Bombyx mori: one gene and its partner. The protein of the gene in region 1 purifies or fractionates together with the protein of each later gene. This does not show direct contact. Links are inferred from orthologs where the notes say so. Each region holds a gene or a part of one and is shown on either strand. Other genes may lie near its edges.

Region 1 (7,681 bases):
TTGTACGCCAGCTTGGCTTTGCCGTCCAAATAACTTCGAAATTGGACATCGCTCAAAATGTCGACCCCAAGTATCCCAATACAAGTAAAAGGTTGCAGGGATACTCCTTCGTCTAGCCTAGTAGTATTATTTACTTTTTAGATTTAAATGGCGACTGTGCAAGACATTCGCGCATCGAAACAACGAAAATAAAATTAATCGGATGTGGCACTGTTACAAGCCATACATGTAATTTGATTTTTTTATTGCATGCATGGACGGGTGAATGAACTCACGGCCCACCGGGTGTTACACGATTACCGGAGCCCATAGACATCACTACGTGAGACATGAGGTCTAAATCTCAATTGTATACTAAAACGGCTGTCCCACTCTACAAACTGGAATCCATTACTGCTTCACATCAGGAATAGAATGGCTGGTGGTACATAACTGCCTCGCAAGACGCACCACGACCAGTAATTACAACAATTTGTTTTTTTATTGTTTAGGTTGATGGACGAGCTCACGACTGGTGGTAGGACTTCTTGTGAGTTCGCACGGGTAGGTACCACCGCCCTGCCTATTTCTGCCGTGAAGCAGTAATGGGTTTCGGTTCGAAGGGTGAGGTAGCCGTTGTAACTATACTGAGACCTTAGAACTTATATCTCGAGGTGGGTGGCGCGTTTACGTTGTAGATGTCTATGGGCTCCAGAAACCACCTAACACTTAACACACTTAGCATTAAAATAATATTAGGGCTGCATCATAATTTGGAAGAGAAGGTCAAGGAAAAGATGAAATCAATAGATTTTAACACATTTATTCAACTGTACACTGATTCACAGTAAGAGCTTTCATGGAAAATCACAAGCACAGTTACCGACAGATCACCTAACATTACAATTTGACTGTGCCACGGCTTCGCAGTGGCAAAATGCTATAAACATAATTACATAAGATAATACGGTTTCGCGTCTACGGGACCACGCATGGTAACAAAGTCACAGCAAGCCACCCCGTGTAACAAAGTAAACACGCGATGGTAGATAAAATAAATTAATTTAATTATAAACAATTAACATGTTACTGTGCCTATAGAAAAAAAAAAAATTGTCTAAAACATTTGTTTTGCTACTTGTAAGTTGTTGGCGTTTATTTCTTAGAAACGGGCTTGTAGGCGAGCTTTCTAGACTTGAGCGTGGACCACTTGTGCCGCTTGTAGTAGTAGACAACGGCGGCAAGCATGGAGAACATGCCGATAGCTTTGATGGTCATCTGCCGACGGTCGTCCAGTTCGGGTTCTGAGCACCATTTCAAGAAAGTCGCAACATCCTTGGCGAGCTGTGACGCAGTCGCCGGCGTGCCGTCACTGTACTCAGCTGCCTGCCAAACATAATATAATATTTAGAGAGGGCGTTGATATTACTCGTATGTGTATAGAAAATAATATATAATGCAGTCTATTCTTCTTGTATAAGGCTAATTTTGTTTGTTAATGAAATATCACCAATGGACATATATAACGAGTTTAGAATTATCCATGAAACTTACTTCGTCAAATAGAACTTGCGCCATAGAGATGGCACCTCCTGGGAAGTATGGATTGTAGTTCTGTCCCTCACGTAGCACTACACCAGCAGGAGGTTCCATGTAACCAGTCAGTAGCGCGAAGATGTAATCTTCGCCGCCCTTACGTCCCGAGCAGATCAGAGACAAGTCCGGTGGGTAAGCACCTGATATCAATTAACATTTTTATTATTAGTTTTGTATTTAGGGAGTCAAGCATAATCACTTATTAACTTGCACTATTTAAATTTGATCTTTAAAATCCAGATAAAATTTTCTCTTCTATTTCAATAATTTCATTAAATTTAATAATACTAATATGTTTTTAACACCAATGCATAATACCTTTGCAATTTTTTTTAATGTAAATCTATTAAGTGAAAGTTTTTTTTTTTTTTTTTTTTTTTATTGCCCTTGTAGGCAGACGAGCATACGGCCCACCTGATGGTGAGTGGTTACCGTCGCCCATGAACTTCAGCAATGCCAGGGGCAGAGCCAAGCCGCTGCCTACCGTAAGTGTTGTTAAGTGGAGCCATGTGCCTTGAGACGTAAGCTTGATGTCTCAGTTTCATTTTATAATGACTTCCATCTTTCAAACCAATACCCATGACTGCATCTACCATCATAGTAAGAGGCATGGCAATTATTAAAAATATTAACTACCCAGACCTTTAGAAATCAAGGTTACTTAGTTTCCCTACAGGATTTCATGACATTGATTTCTTGTGGGCCCATTCACAAATGATACTAAGATTTTGCTCTGCATTTTATTATTTTCTACACATACCATTGTTTGCAGCACGAGCCGCATTTTCATTGGGGTATGGAGACGGCAGGTAGTCAGAAAGTTTACCAGGCCTTTCAAAGTAGTTGCCCTCCTCATCAGGACCATCTTTAATCATCACCTGAAAATGTTCAAGTTACCAATTAAATATTATACATTGTACTGCTATGACAGTTTTGTTCTTACTATGTTGGACAAACCTATAACTAATGAATATGAAAGTAATTTTTCTCTTTTAACTGACTACTTGTAATAAAAAGGGCATGTTATTGACAATTATAAAATACATCAAATATAATTGATCCCTAGAGTCATTTTTTTATATCATGCTTGGTATTAATGTCTCGCACATGATCATAGCCGGCCATTTAACGGCCGTCTGGTGTAGTGGTAAGTGACATGGTCACTACATAGGGGGGTCGCGTGTTCGAATCCCGCCAAGGGAAGATATTTGTATGATAAATATAAATGTCTTTTCCAGGGTTATGGATTCTATTAAATATATGTATGTGTATAATAAAAATCTTACATTTATATCCGTTATCTGGTACCTGTAACACAAGTTCTTTACGAACTTATCACGGGACCAGTTAACGTGGCGTGATTGTTAGTAAATATTTATTTATTTATTTATAGCATCAGGATAAAATTAACATTTATTTGACATAATCACCGATGACTGACCTCAGCAGCTTCAGCCTTAGCCTCGTCTTCAGTATGGGTGACATTGACCAAATTTCTGAAGGCAATATACTGCAAAGAGTGGCATGCCTTGCAGACTTGTTTGTAAACTTCATAACCCCGACGGACACTGTAACAAACATGGAACTAGGTGTTCTATGACAAATGATGTTTGATAGGTATTATGTTTTTCTTTGCCTAATGTATATACAATTACAATCCATTTCATACAGTAAAACAAGAAAATTGTATTTTTTCTTACAGTAATGTTTTATAAACATAATTTTTATATTCATTATGACTTTGAACGTCCTTGATTTTGATCATAAAGGTCATCTTAATGTTAATTTTTCTTTATAATTTTATCTATGACTTTTGTTGTATTATTGAAATTGAATTTAAATGCTTAGAGTTCTAACTCTAAGAGTGAAAACTCACCTAGCGTGGTCCAGGGAGCTGAACCAGCCACTGTGATTCCAAGGGTTGTGAGGTGGGTGAGCTTCAGAGCCTGATGCCTGCACAGACTGCTCAAGTGCAAAAAGTAGAGCTCCAACACCTCCACCTACCACTCCCAAAGTGGACAGCCACTGGAATACGTTTATTAGATTGAATTTGAGCACATGCACAAAATGCATCAAAAACTGTTGGATTTAGTAGTTATCTCTCTGAGTTATGGCATAGTTTGGAAAAAAGACTGTTTCACATTAGAAACATTGTAACCCTTTAATACCCCTATTTTTGTGTAAATTATTTTTTTACAACCATATTAGTTAAATGGTACGTGACCTGTAGGCCTTCCTTCCTTCAATGGTTGATTGAAACCACTGTGGAAAACTCTTTAAAAGATAATCTCTTTAAGAGATGTTATCCTCTTATTTTTATCAAAAACAATAGCATAGCCTTGTGGAGTAAATTTATCTAGCCAAACTATTCTTGTCAGTTAATTATTGGAAAAAAAAAATCCATAACTCTTAGCATAGTAGTAGTATCATTAGTCTGTTTTGTCAAGTTTCCATAAAACCATATTTGTGTATAAAGTGACACTCAACTTTAATATTACAGATACATATCTTTAAATTTATAAAATTTTAATGTTATTTAAGAGCTATTTCAAATACGTAATAAATTAGCAACACTAATATTACTAATAATTAGTTATTATAAATTTTTCAGACTTCATCAAACTTATAGATGCAATATTTAACTAATGAATCAATTATTACTCTTCATATCAGCAAACATCAACTGATAAGTCTTGATATTTTATGTAATTATTGACAATTTATTTTTTTAATATCATTTAATTTAAGTGATCCTTTTAATCTTCGTTACTAAAGATAATTGCACAAAAACTTCAGGATACAAAGTTTAAAAGCAAACAAAATTCATAAAACTAGTAGCTTTAATATTATGTAGGAAAATAAATTTTGTTACAGCAAAACTTACCACTTTTCTGTTTTTTGTCCATCCTTGAGTGTTGGTGGACAGCTGACAAGCCTGCAATGTTCGATCAGCATTAGAATTAATATGTACTTGTTACATAATGCAGAATAGGTTATCACTTTTAGATCCAATTTTTTTCTACACACTCGGATATATTAACATTTAATTGGATTCATTTCATACAGAGCGTCGTTTGAATTAAAACTTATGAACCCTGGATAAAAACTATAAATTGATAAATTCACCAGTTTTCAGTGACACTTGGAACTTCAACTTTGTCGCATTTGATAACATACATGTCTATCGTACTGTAAGCACTAATTACTTTTAGAGAATTACGGGATTCTGAGGAACATTTTTAGTACCTGAGGCCAAACTAGACCATATTTTTTCAAAAGACGTGCCCCACAAATCCTACCGACGGTGGCCGCCATGTTTGAAAACCGTCGTAATGAAAGATGACGACTAAAATGACATCTACAGCTAAAATGCCAGAGGTAAAAATAGGTCGATTAACTTTTTTTCTGGCAGAAGTCAAAGTCATTATACAGTATTTTTTCGAAGGCTTTCAAGTTTCTGGATGTAAAACACGTCGTTTATTATTTCTTTACTTACACATTCTACAATCTCCGATATTTTGAATACTTTACAATTTTTGACGGCAAGGTTTCGATCATAAATATGTTATGCAATACTTCATCATCTGTATCTCTCCTCTGCTGGATGTAGGCCTCTCCCATAGTCCGCCACAATGAACGATCCTCCGCCTTCCACATCAAATCTTTCCCAGCATATCGCCCCAATAATTCGTATATTATTTCACTCATACAAATTTTCCTTTCTTCTTTTTGTTTCAAAATTAAAATTCGTTTTGTTTTTGTCATTTAAGCTTGCAATACTTACATCTACAGCAGAAACTTAATTTGTAATATCAAGTAAAGTGTGTCCGATATTCATTTACCGTCAATGGAAACTAAGTTAAAGTAAATAAAGCAATTTATAGTGTAGCAATAGGAGGACCAAATTAAAATAAAACGATCATTCAATAGAATATTCAATAACGAAAATCATCGAGTGATACGGACTCTCCGGTAAAACTTATTTCACTATTTAAATACTGGTATGTGAATCAGGATAATGTGGTAAGATAGTCGGGTTCGCTATCGGATGTGTAAGTGTAAGTAGGAGTTTGTGTCAGGCAGGGGGGCTGACATACCGAATGAGCTCAGCAGTGTTGGTGTCTGCAGTTCGATTGATGGAGTTTTATAAGCAGCATTAGTTATACAGATAATATGGTCCTGCTGAGCCCATCGATCAGAGCCCTCAAGAAATTCATCGCAGCCTCCGATATGCTTTTGGTTTCAAATATGACGCCACAAAAATGGAGCATATGGTCATGTGATTATTAAGTTAATATATAACTATTGAGGAAGAAATAAAGTTAATAAATAAGTTTCGAAAAAGTATCTCCTTTGTCGTATCACTCTTGTTAGAGCGGTCGTGTTCGTCATTCAGTATCATTGCTGTGGGCAGATACTATGCGCCTCACGAGCAATCGCCACTTCTCCCGGTTTGTGGTGAGTATAGTACACTTATGCAAACAACCGCCAACTGCATGCCGACTTGACTTGGTCGATCTATTGCATGGACAACCTTCCACGCGATTTGGTGCCTTCTAGTTTGCCTGGAACGAAAAGGCGCTCTATGCAGATATTTCTTCGCCGAGAGATATGTCCATAAAATTATAGTATGCGCCCACGTACGAGCGCCGAAAGACGCTGCCTATTGCTGAGTTCCAGTACCAAGCATTCGTCTCCAGCATCACATCTCCAAACCATCAACCTTCTTTTTCTCCACCTGTCGCAAAGTCCACGTCTCCGCCGCGTATAAAAATAAGAAGAAATCAAGAATTTATACAAAAAAAAAAGTATAGTCACATTAAAAATTCAAACTGACAAAAGGAGGCTTAATGTGACATGAAAACTTAGGTTTATTCCTAGTAAAGCGATTCATCAAACAATTCCTATTGAGTTATATTTCCAGTTTACTATAACACTAAGCCTACCGAAATTTTATATACATATATGTAGATATTCATACTACAAAGGATAAAAATAGTGTTTTTCTTAAATAAATTTTAACACGTGCAGGACAAAAAAATAGATTTGTCCGTTTTATCTACACGTTCAAAGCAGAAGAAACACTAATTTAACAAAGTTAAATAATTCACTACTTTGACTGATTCGGTGGTGCAGTAGTTACCGGCTCGAACCATTGCGCCGAGGGTCGCAGGTTCGATTCTCACATCGGGCAAACATTCGTTTGGAGAATAAGTTTGTTTGCTCTTTGTTTGGGTGTTTATTAGTTATATGTTTATAATTATATTTAAGCGCATATAAGTATGTATGTCAGTCTCTGGTACCCATAACAGAGGGCATCCAGGTCTACTCAGGTCTAGTGACCTGATTTGCTATATAAACCACTTATGGTATACTTTTTATCTCAATAAGAATAATAATAACATAGGAGTCAGTATTAAAACATATCGAAGAAATGTTGTTTGATAAGGGTAGTAAAATTATAAAGCAAAGGGATCAATAAGTTCATTTGACCCGTCCATCTAAAATTTATTCTGGCAGCCCTGTATCTTTAATGGGGTTGGCAACTGTCAAAGTGGCGCTGGTGTGCATTGTTCCCATAACATTCAATATTTGTATTGGAATTTTTGATTAAAAATTATTATAAGCACAATGACGCGTTGTTTTGTACCAATATGCTCAGAAATTGGAGTACATCAATTCCCGAATGTATGAAAATACTACATCTATAAACACTACCTATGCTTCGTCATACAATAATTGTCATTTAAACTAGCATTGTAGAGATAATACACACACTAAACTGAATACTAAATTAATCTTAGCATTCTTATAAATATTTAGAAATTTAAGAAACGATTAACCCACAATCATGTTCATAACATGTGACATTTTGTTCTGCACAAACGTTTTGTTACATGATTTGAAAAACAAAAAAAAAAACAAAAAATGTTTAAAAAATGTAATGATGATTTAAAAAGTACTCTTAAATATTGATAGTTTGTACTTAATGACGCTTATAGTAATTTTAGACATGATTACATTAGTTATACTTTTATTCCCTATCTAAATTATTTCTATTCTGACGTTTCTGATGGTTTAGCTTTGGTAATACTAGATGAAACAA
Region 2 (6,345 bases), on another chromosome or scaffold:
TTGTCAGGAACTATCAAAGTGAGCACAGGGTTGCTTGATACTCCTCCAAACTGTAAATAAACATTTATTGATGAATTCCCCTAACAATATGGTGCACTTCAGTACATAATTAAAATCTGTTTTTGTAGGAAATAATCACTGATGACTGTATCTTCGATTTTCATGTTCTATCACAGCCACGCACGGCAATAACGTCATTTTGCTTTTACAACACTTTAGTTAATATTCGCTTGCACCATTCACGTATGTTTAAAACTACTTTTACAATTTAATCTTGCATTTTCTGACGAATCGTGTTTTACAATTTTAGTCGCAAACGACTAATCACGGCGACACACTGATCTTTATGAAATTTCTAATTAGAGCATCGTCCTAACTACCTCCAAATAATTTAGAAAAAATATAATTGTGTATATTTTTCTCGAAACTCAAGAGGATCTACCGATTTCTTGAAGTCTGTTTCATCTTAACGATAATAATATTCCAGGTGTTAGCTTAGGGCCAACCAACTTGTCCGTTAAAGTTTTGTCTCAATTTATTTCAGCTGCATGGTATACTTTTGTCGAATATTGTCATAGAATATTGCGTACTGTTGTCTAGAGCATGTTGACACACCGGAGACTTATACTAACTATACTAAGCAGTCACTCTCTTGGCGTCTCCAATATGTAGTATTTACCCATCCCATAGCTCACGAAAACGCAAGTAAAAGGTTGTTATAATGCCACTTTCCAATACTTAAGCTAATAAAACATTCAAAACTTAGGACACTGTTGTAATAAGCATCTATCTCACGGTAATCTAACACAGTGACTCATATAGTAGTGGAGTTTATATTAGTAGTTGATGATTTTAATTCAATTATATTTCATGTTTATTTATTTTTATTTATTAATAATACTGACAAATTTAATTTTAACTAAATTTTATTTTGATTCAAATATTATGTAATTGTATGTGAAATTTTAAAGGCTTAAGTGGCTTGAAATAAACGCATTTTATTTATTATTTTATAAACTTCATTACTTAAAGCTACTTTTACAGTTTGATCTCACATTTAACATTTTCATTTCATTATTTCTTTACAGATACTTTAGGGGTTTCGTGGTCACAGACTACTTGGGTGTAACACACACACAACACTACATTTTAATGTTGGGCTACATCAATTTTTTCTATATAAAAAATGACATTCATGTTTCTTTCTGTTGAAATAATAAAGTGAGAGCAATAAATGTAAAATTAAACAGTGAAAGTAATTTTATTTATGATGATTAGGGAATCTATTTGAATGTTTGCTTTGTCTGATAATAAGTAGTCCCGGCTATTGTGTGTTGGGCTTCAAAGTCAATCCCCCGTCAGAGTCAGTATACATATATCAGATACTTGAAATTCAGGGTCTGGATGTTGTTGTTGTAAGTTATATGGGTTTCCGGTAATTAAATCATAACACTGAAGAAAATCTGAATTTGGAATGTTGAATGTAAAATGTTAATTATTTTTCACCAAAAAAAGGTTGAATCAGCTGATGTTCACACGCTGGCTTTTCTTTAAATTATAAGTTCACAAAATAGAAGTAAGTAATCTTTCCTTAGAAGATTAATCTTCTATAAATGAAAGATGTACATCATTTATTGTTAATATATTGATTGACTCCAAGAACTTCAAGTTATAAATGATACTTTTTAATTTTAAATTTTATGTACTTCTTCAATGAAATAATTAATGTTAAGACATTAACTACCACTATGGATTTTTCATAATTAGAGCAAAGTTTATTTTAATCATGGTATATATTAAGAACTTTAATATTATTAATTGTAATACTAATTCTTGCTTCAAGAGTCTGATAGTGGTTGTGGTGATAAATTGTAAGGTGGGGCAGTGGCTGTGATGTTTATGTATTATAGTAATTGTGTGTGTAACGGCAGTAAGAAATTTGCCATCTTTATCAATAAACAGATAGCAACATACCACACTATGCAGGCAGAAATTATTACTACCAACTATTGAACTCAATTCACAAAATCTCACCAAGAAACAGTCACTGCAGCGTTCTTTGAGGAAAGTGAGTAGATCTCGATATCCATATTTGGCTATTGGTATGTGCTCTCCCATCATACTGCGGTAGTCCCTCAATAATGAGCGTAGGTCCACTTGCGTAGGACTAGACACCACAAGGGACCGCAGGACTCCCTTCAATTTTTGAAGATCCTCCTCCATAATTGTTTCTGTTGCAATTTAGAAAAAGAGCCTAGTATACTCTTTCACCCATAATTTTTTAAAAAGTGTCATTTCAATATAGTTATCTTATCTTTGTAAGCATTAGAAGATGCTATACAAAATGTTTGTTATTTTAAGATATCTAGAACATATGTATGCATAGAGCCTTCTAGTACAGTATACTTGCATATAACAAGTGTACTAATGTTAAACATTGCATAAATGTGTACCTACCAAGAGTAAGGTTTTACCCAAGCACTCAATATGATCTCTTGAGAATAAATGTCATGTTGGGCACATCTGATCAAAAATAAATTCAAGGTAGAGTGAAATTTTCCAAACCAAATGGATACCAGTATAAATGGATTCCATGGATACCAGTTACCACAGGGTCAGAAGCTTATTTTCGGGCATCGATAATACAGTAGACAGGTAAGAGGGATAAAATTATAAAATTGGTTGTATCATAACCGTGACAATTTATACATAATAAATTCATTTTGATGTTTCGCAAATTTAACGAAAACTCGACACTGTTATTAATTTCGAAAACAATATATAAACAAAACTTTAATAGTAATCGTCATACCTGTTGATTTCGCCTGAAAGAATATTGTAATTTTATGTAGATTTTCATCAAATAATCCAATAATTGCTACAATATTAGTGTATCTATTGATTGCATTTATGGTATTCTTTTAAATAATTGCTTCTGTTGTCTTTAAATAATGTTTTTTATGGTTATGTTTAATTCTTCTATTGGATATGCAAAGGAAACATAGCCCATAAAGAAAACTGTTATAATACAAAGCCAAATCTTAAATTTAAATAAAATGAAAGGGATTTAAATCAGATCTACTTTATGTAACTATACTTGAGACCTTAGAACTTATATCTCAAGGTGGGTGGCGCATTTACTTCCTAGATGTCTATGTGCTCCAGTAACCACTTAACACCAGGTGGACTTTGAGTTCGTCCACCCATCTAAGCAATAAAAATAAAAAGATCAGATACAACAAAACCGTTACATACTGTTCTGTAGAAAAACATTCTAACTGTAGGATAATAAATGTAGAAGAGAATAGGTAAATTTTTATAATCCTAAAATCGTCTAAAATTTTTATTTATGAATTTCGATCCCGTTTGTTCTAGCGATCCTTCTTCAAAGATTTACCTTTCGGGCCGTGTACTGTCTAGTGTGTCTAGTGTCAAATAAAACACAAAAGTCAAAGTCAACTATGTAATGTTTATGTCGTTTCCTAAGATTTTCGATCGAATTTAATTACGTAAGGAATTAGTTTATTTTGCTAGAACATTATGTCCTTCTTCTTAAAACGCACTATTGGTGCGGGAAACGGCGTCGGACGAGCTATTTTAAACAGTACCAAAATACCTGGTGTCCAGCGCGTAGCGACAAAATCTACCGAAAAAACCCCAGTACAAGAGACACGACCAACTGTAGCCAAATTAGATCCACTGCAAAAGGCGCAGCTCGTCGACTTCGGCAAATATGTAGCTGACTGTCTACCCAAGTATGTGCAGAAAGTACAGCTGACTGCCGGCAACGAACTAGAGGTGCTCATCCCTCCGGACGCAGTCATCCCGGTTTTATCCTTTTTGAAGGACCACCACAGCGCTCAGTTTGCAAACCTTGTCGATATCGCTGGCATGGACGTACCCTCGCGCTCAAACAGATTCGAAATCATATATAACATACTTTCTCTACGTTACAATGCCCGAATAAGAGTCAAAACTTACACTGACGAGTTGACTCCTGTAGACTCAGCCTGCGATGTATTCAAGGCCGCAAATTGGTACGAACGAGAGATCTGGGACATGTATGGAGTATTTTTTGCTAACCATCCTGATTTAAGAAGGATTTTAACAGATTACGGTTTTGAGGGGCACCCTTTCAGGAAGGACTTCCCTCTAAGTGGATATGTAGAAGTTCGTTATGACGATGAGCAGAAGCGTGTGGTGGTCGAACCCCTTGAGTTGGCACAAGAGTTCAGACGCTTTGAACTGAGTGCACCATGGGAGCAGTTCCCTAACTTTAGAGCCAACCCTGTAACAGAGGAAGTAGTGAACCCGTCTGAGGATCAACCAAAAAAATAACAATCCATAACTGATTGTGCAATTTATCTGAAATGTAAATTTTAGTAACATCTTTCTCGACTTATATTAGTTCTGGAAAATATTTCAGAAAATTAATCTTACAATAAAGAGTAAAAATATAAAGAGATAATGCCTATTATTTTTTCAACCTTTGTTTGAAACAATTTTTGTATTGTTAGATAATTTGTTAAAATTGTAGTGATATTCGGATGACAAGTGGTGATGGTCCTATTAGTATAGATAGGAAATTAGCTTACCTTCCAGCTAATGTAGATATTACTAAAGACCATTTACAATAAAATGAATACTGCAGGGATCAATTTGTAATTTGACTGATGTATTTTTTTCCTACCTATGCTGATAGCCTTGAGAGGCTATATCGGCGTTACCCTAACGGGTAGGTGAGCTCTCGGGGCTCAAATCGGACGTGTTGCTAACACTGGCCCTAGCAAGAGCAGTGCTTCGCAGAATCTACCACCGGATCGGAACTACGACCCACTGAGAAAATCTGGTGAGAAACTCAGTGGGCTGTGTCTGAGGGTTAATTTGCTCGCCGAACTCTTCGACGAGAATGATGACCGGTACTTGAGGTACCTAAAAGCACCGGTAGTGGATTGGGAGGATCCGAAATGACGTCTTTTTGGCAACGGTGACTGATTAACATTCGGTCCGCAGGATCGATTATGTAGTTACCGCCGGCCACGACAGGAGAGTTTTCGTGTCGTGCCGCCTTCTCCAAGTGGCGCGTTGATGCCGACTGTATATACTTACTGATTGCGTCAAGCTCCAGATTATTATGGAGATGGACCGATGTGTTGATTTAGAATTGTAAAGCAAAAGTTATTGAATGGATATTTTGGCAGTTCTCAGTAATGTAGATGTGTTCGACATTTTTAAATTATGTTATTACTTAGATGGGTGGAGGAAGAGATTACGGCCTACCTGATGTTAAGTTGATACTGGAGCCCATAGACATCTACAACGCAAATGCCGCCACCAACCTAGAGACATGAGTTCTAAGGTCTCCGTTTTAACAATACAACGGCTGCCCCACCCTTCAAACTGATAAGCAATAGTGCTTTACAGAAATAGGCAGCGTGGTGGTACTGAACTTTTTTTTTTTATTGCTTAGATGGGTGGGCGAGCCACAGCCTACCTGGTGTTAAGTGGTTACTGTAGCGCATAGACATTTACGACATAAATGCGCAACCTTGAGATATAAGTTCTAAGGTCTCAAGTATAGTTACAGCGGCTGCCCCACCCTTCAAACCGAAACGCGTTACTGCTTCACGGTATAAATAGGCAGGGTGGTGGTACCTACCCGCGCGGACTCACAAGAGGTCCTACTACCTAACTACGAACTACGCAAAATATATTTTTTTCGGGTTATTTAATAATAAGGAGATGATGACCGAGCTTTGCTCGCTTTTTTGTTGATAACGCTATCTTGTTGTGTCTTTAAAACGGTTAGTTGCCCTCAATTAAGAAAAATAGTATTATTATTCGCCAATAGATGTCGGGAAGAGTTGATTATTGAAAACACGAATAATACAACATTTTCTGAAAATAAATCGTAGCTAGATCGATTTATCGCCCCCGAAATCCCCTGTATACAAAATTTTATAAAAATCGTTGAAGCCGTTTCCGAGATTCAGATTATCTATATTTTAATATACAAGAATTGCTCGTTTAAAGGTATAAGATTTTGCGCGTTTGATTTTTATTACATGGTGTCATTCCTTCACTGTGGAAGTAAGTCGTGAACATTTGTACATATTTCATTAGAAAAATTGGTACTATTGGTATTCGAACATTGCTCGATACGAATGCACCGATAATTTCTTTTAGTCGTTCTTATTTTTAAATATACTTCAAAAATTTTGCTAGTTAACTTTGCCTGTACAATGCAGAAGACATTTAAAATAAGGCATACAAAAGACCAATAAGGAATCTTAATTTTCTTCTTGCCCCTATCCGACATTATGTGAGGTCAGCACAGCATGCTGC

Evidence for each region.
Region 2: the proteins of cytochrome c1 (region 1) and NADH dehydrogenase [ubiquinone] iron-sulfur protein 3, mitochondrial fractionate together in Homo sapiens (co-fractionation; 3 studies listed by BioGRID and IntAct, with this or other methods). This does not show direct contact. The link is inferred for Bombyx mori from reciprocal best matches to the Homo sapiens genes CYC1 and NDUFS3.

What each region holds. Positions count from the first base shown.
Region 1 is NC_085117.1:9,004,176-9,011,856, reverse strand, and holds cytochrome c1, read right to left. Parts: upstream 4,899-7,681; 5' UTR 4,891-4,898; coding exon 4,822-4,890; intron 4,511-4,821; coding exon 4,460-4,510; intron 3,601-4,459; coding exon 3,452-3,600; intron 3,144-3,451; coding exon 3,017-3,143; intron 2,454-3,016; coding exon 2,336-2,453; intron 1,716-2,335; coding exon 1,534-1,715; intron 1,366-1,533; coding exon 1,135-1,365; 3' UTR 787-1,134; downstream 1-786. UniProt on the Homo sapiens protein: Component of the ubiquinol-cytochrome c oxidoreductase, a multisubunit transmembrane complex that is part of the mitochondrial electron transport chain which drives oxidative phosphorylation.
Region 2 is NC_085125.1:14,789,479-14,795,823, reverse strand, and holds NADH dehydrogenase [ubiquinone] iron-sulfur protein 3, mitochondrial, read left to right. Parts: upstream 1-3,385; 5' UTR 3,386-3,540; coding exon 3,541-4,338; 3' UTR 4,339-4,465; downstream 4,466-6,345. Other genes in the region: uncharacterized protein LOC110386536, read right to left, coding at 1-50, 2,035-2,223.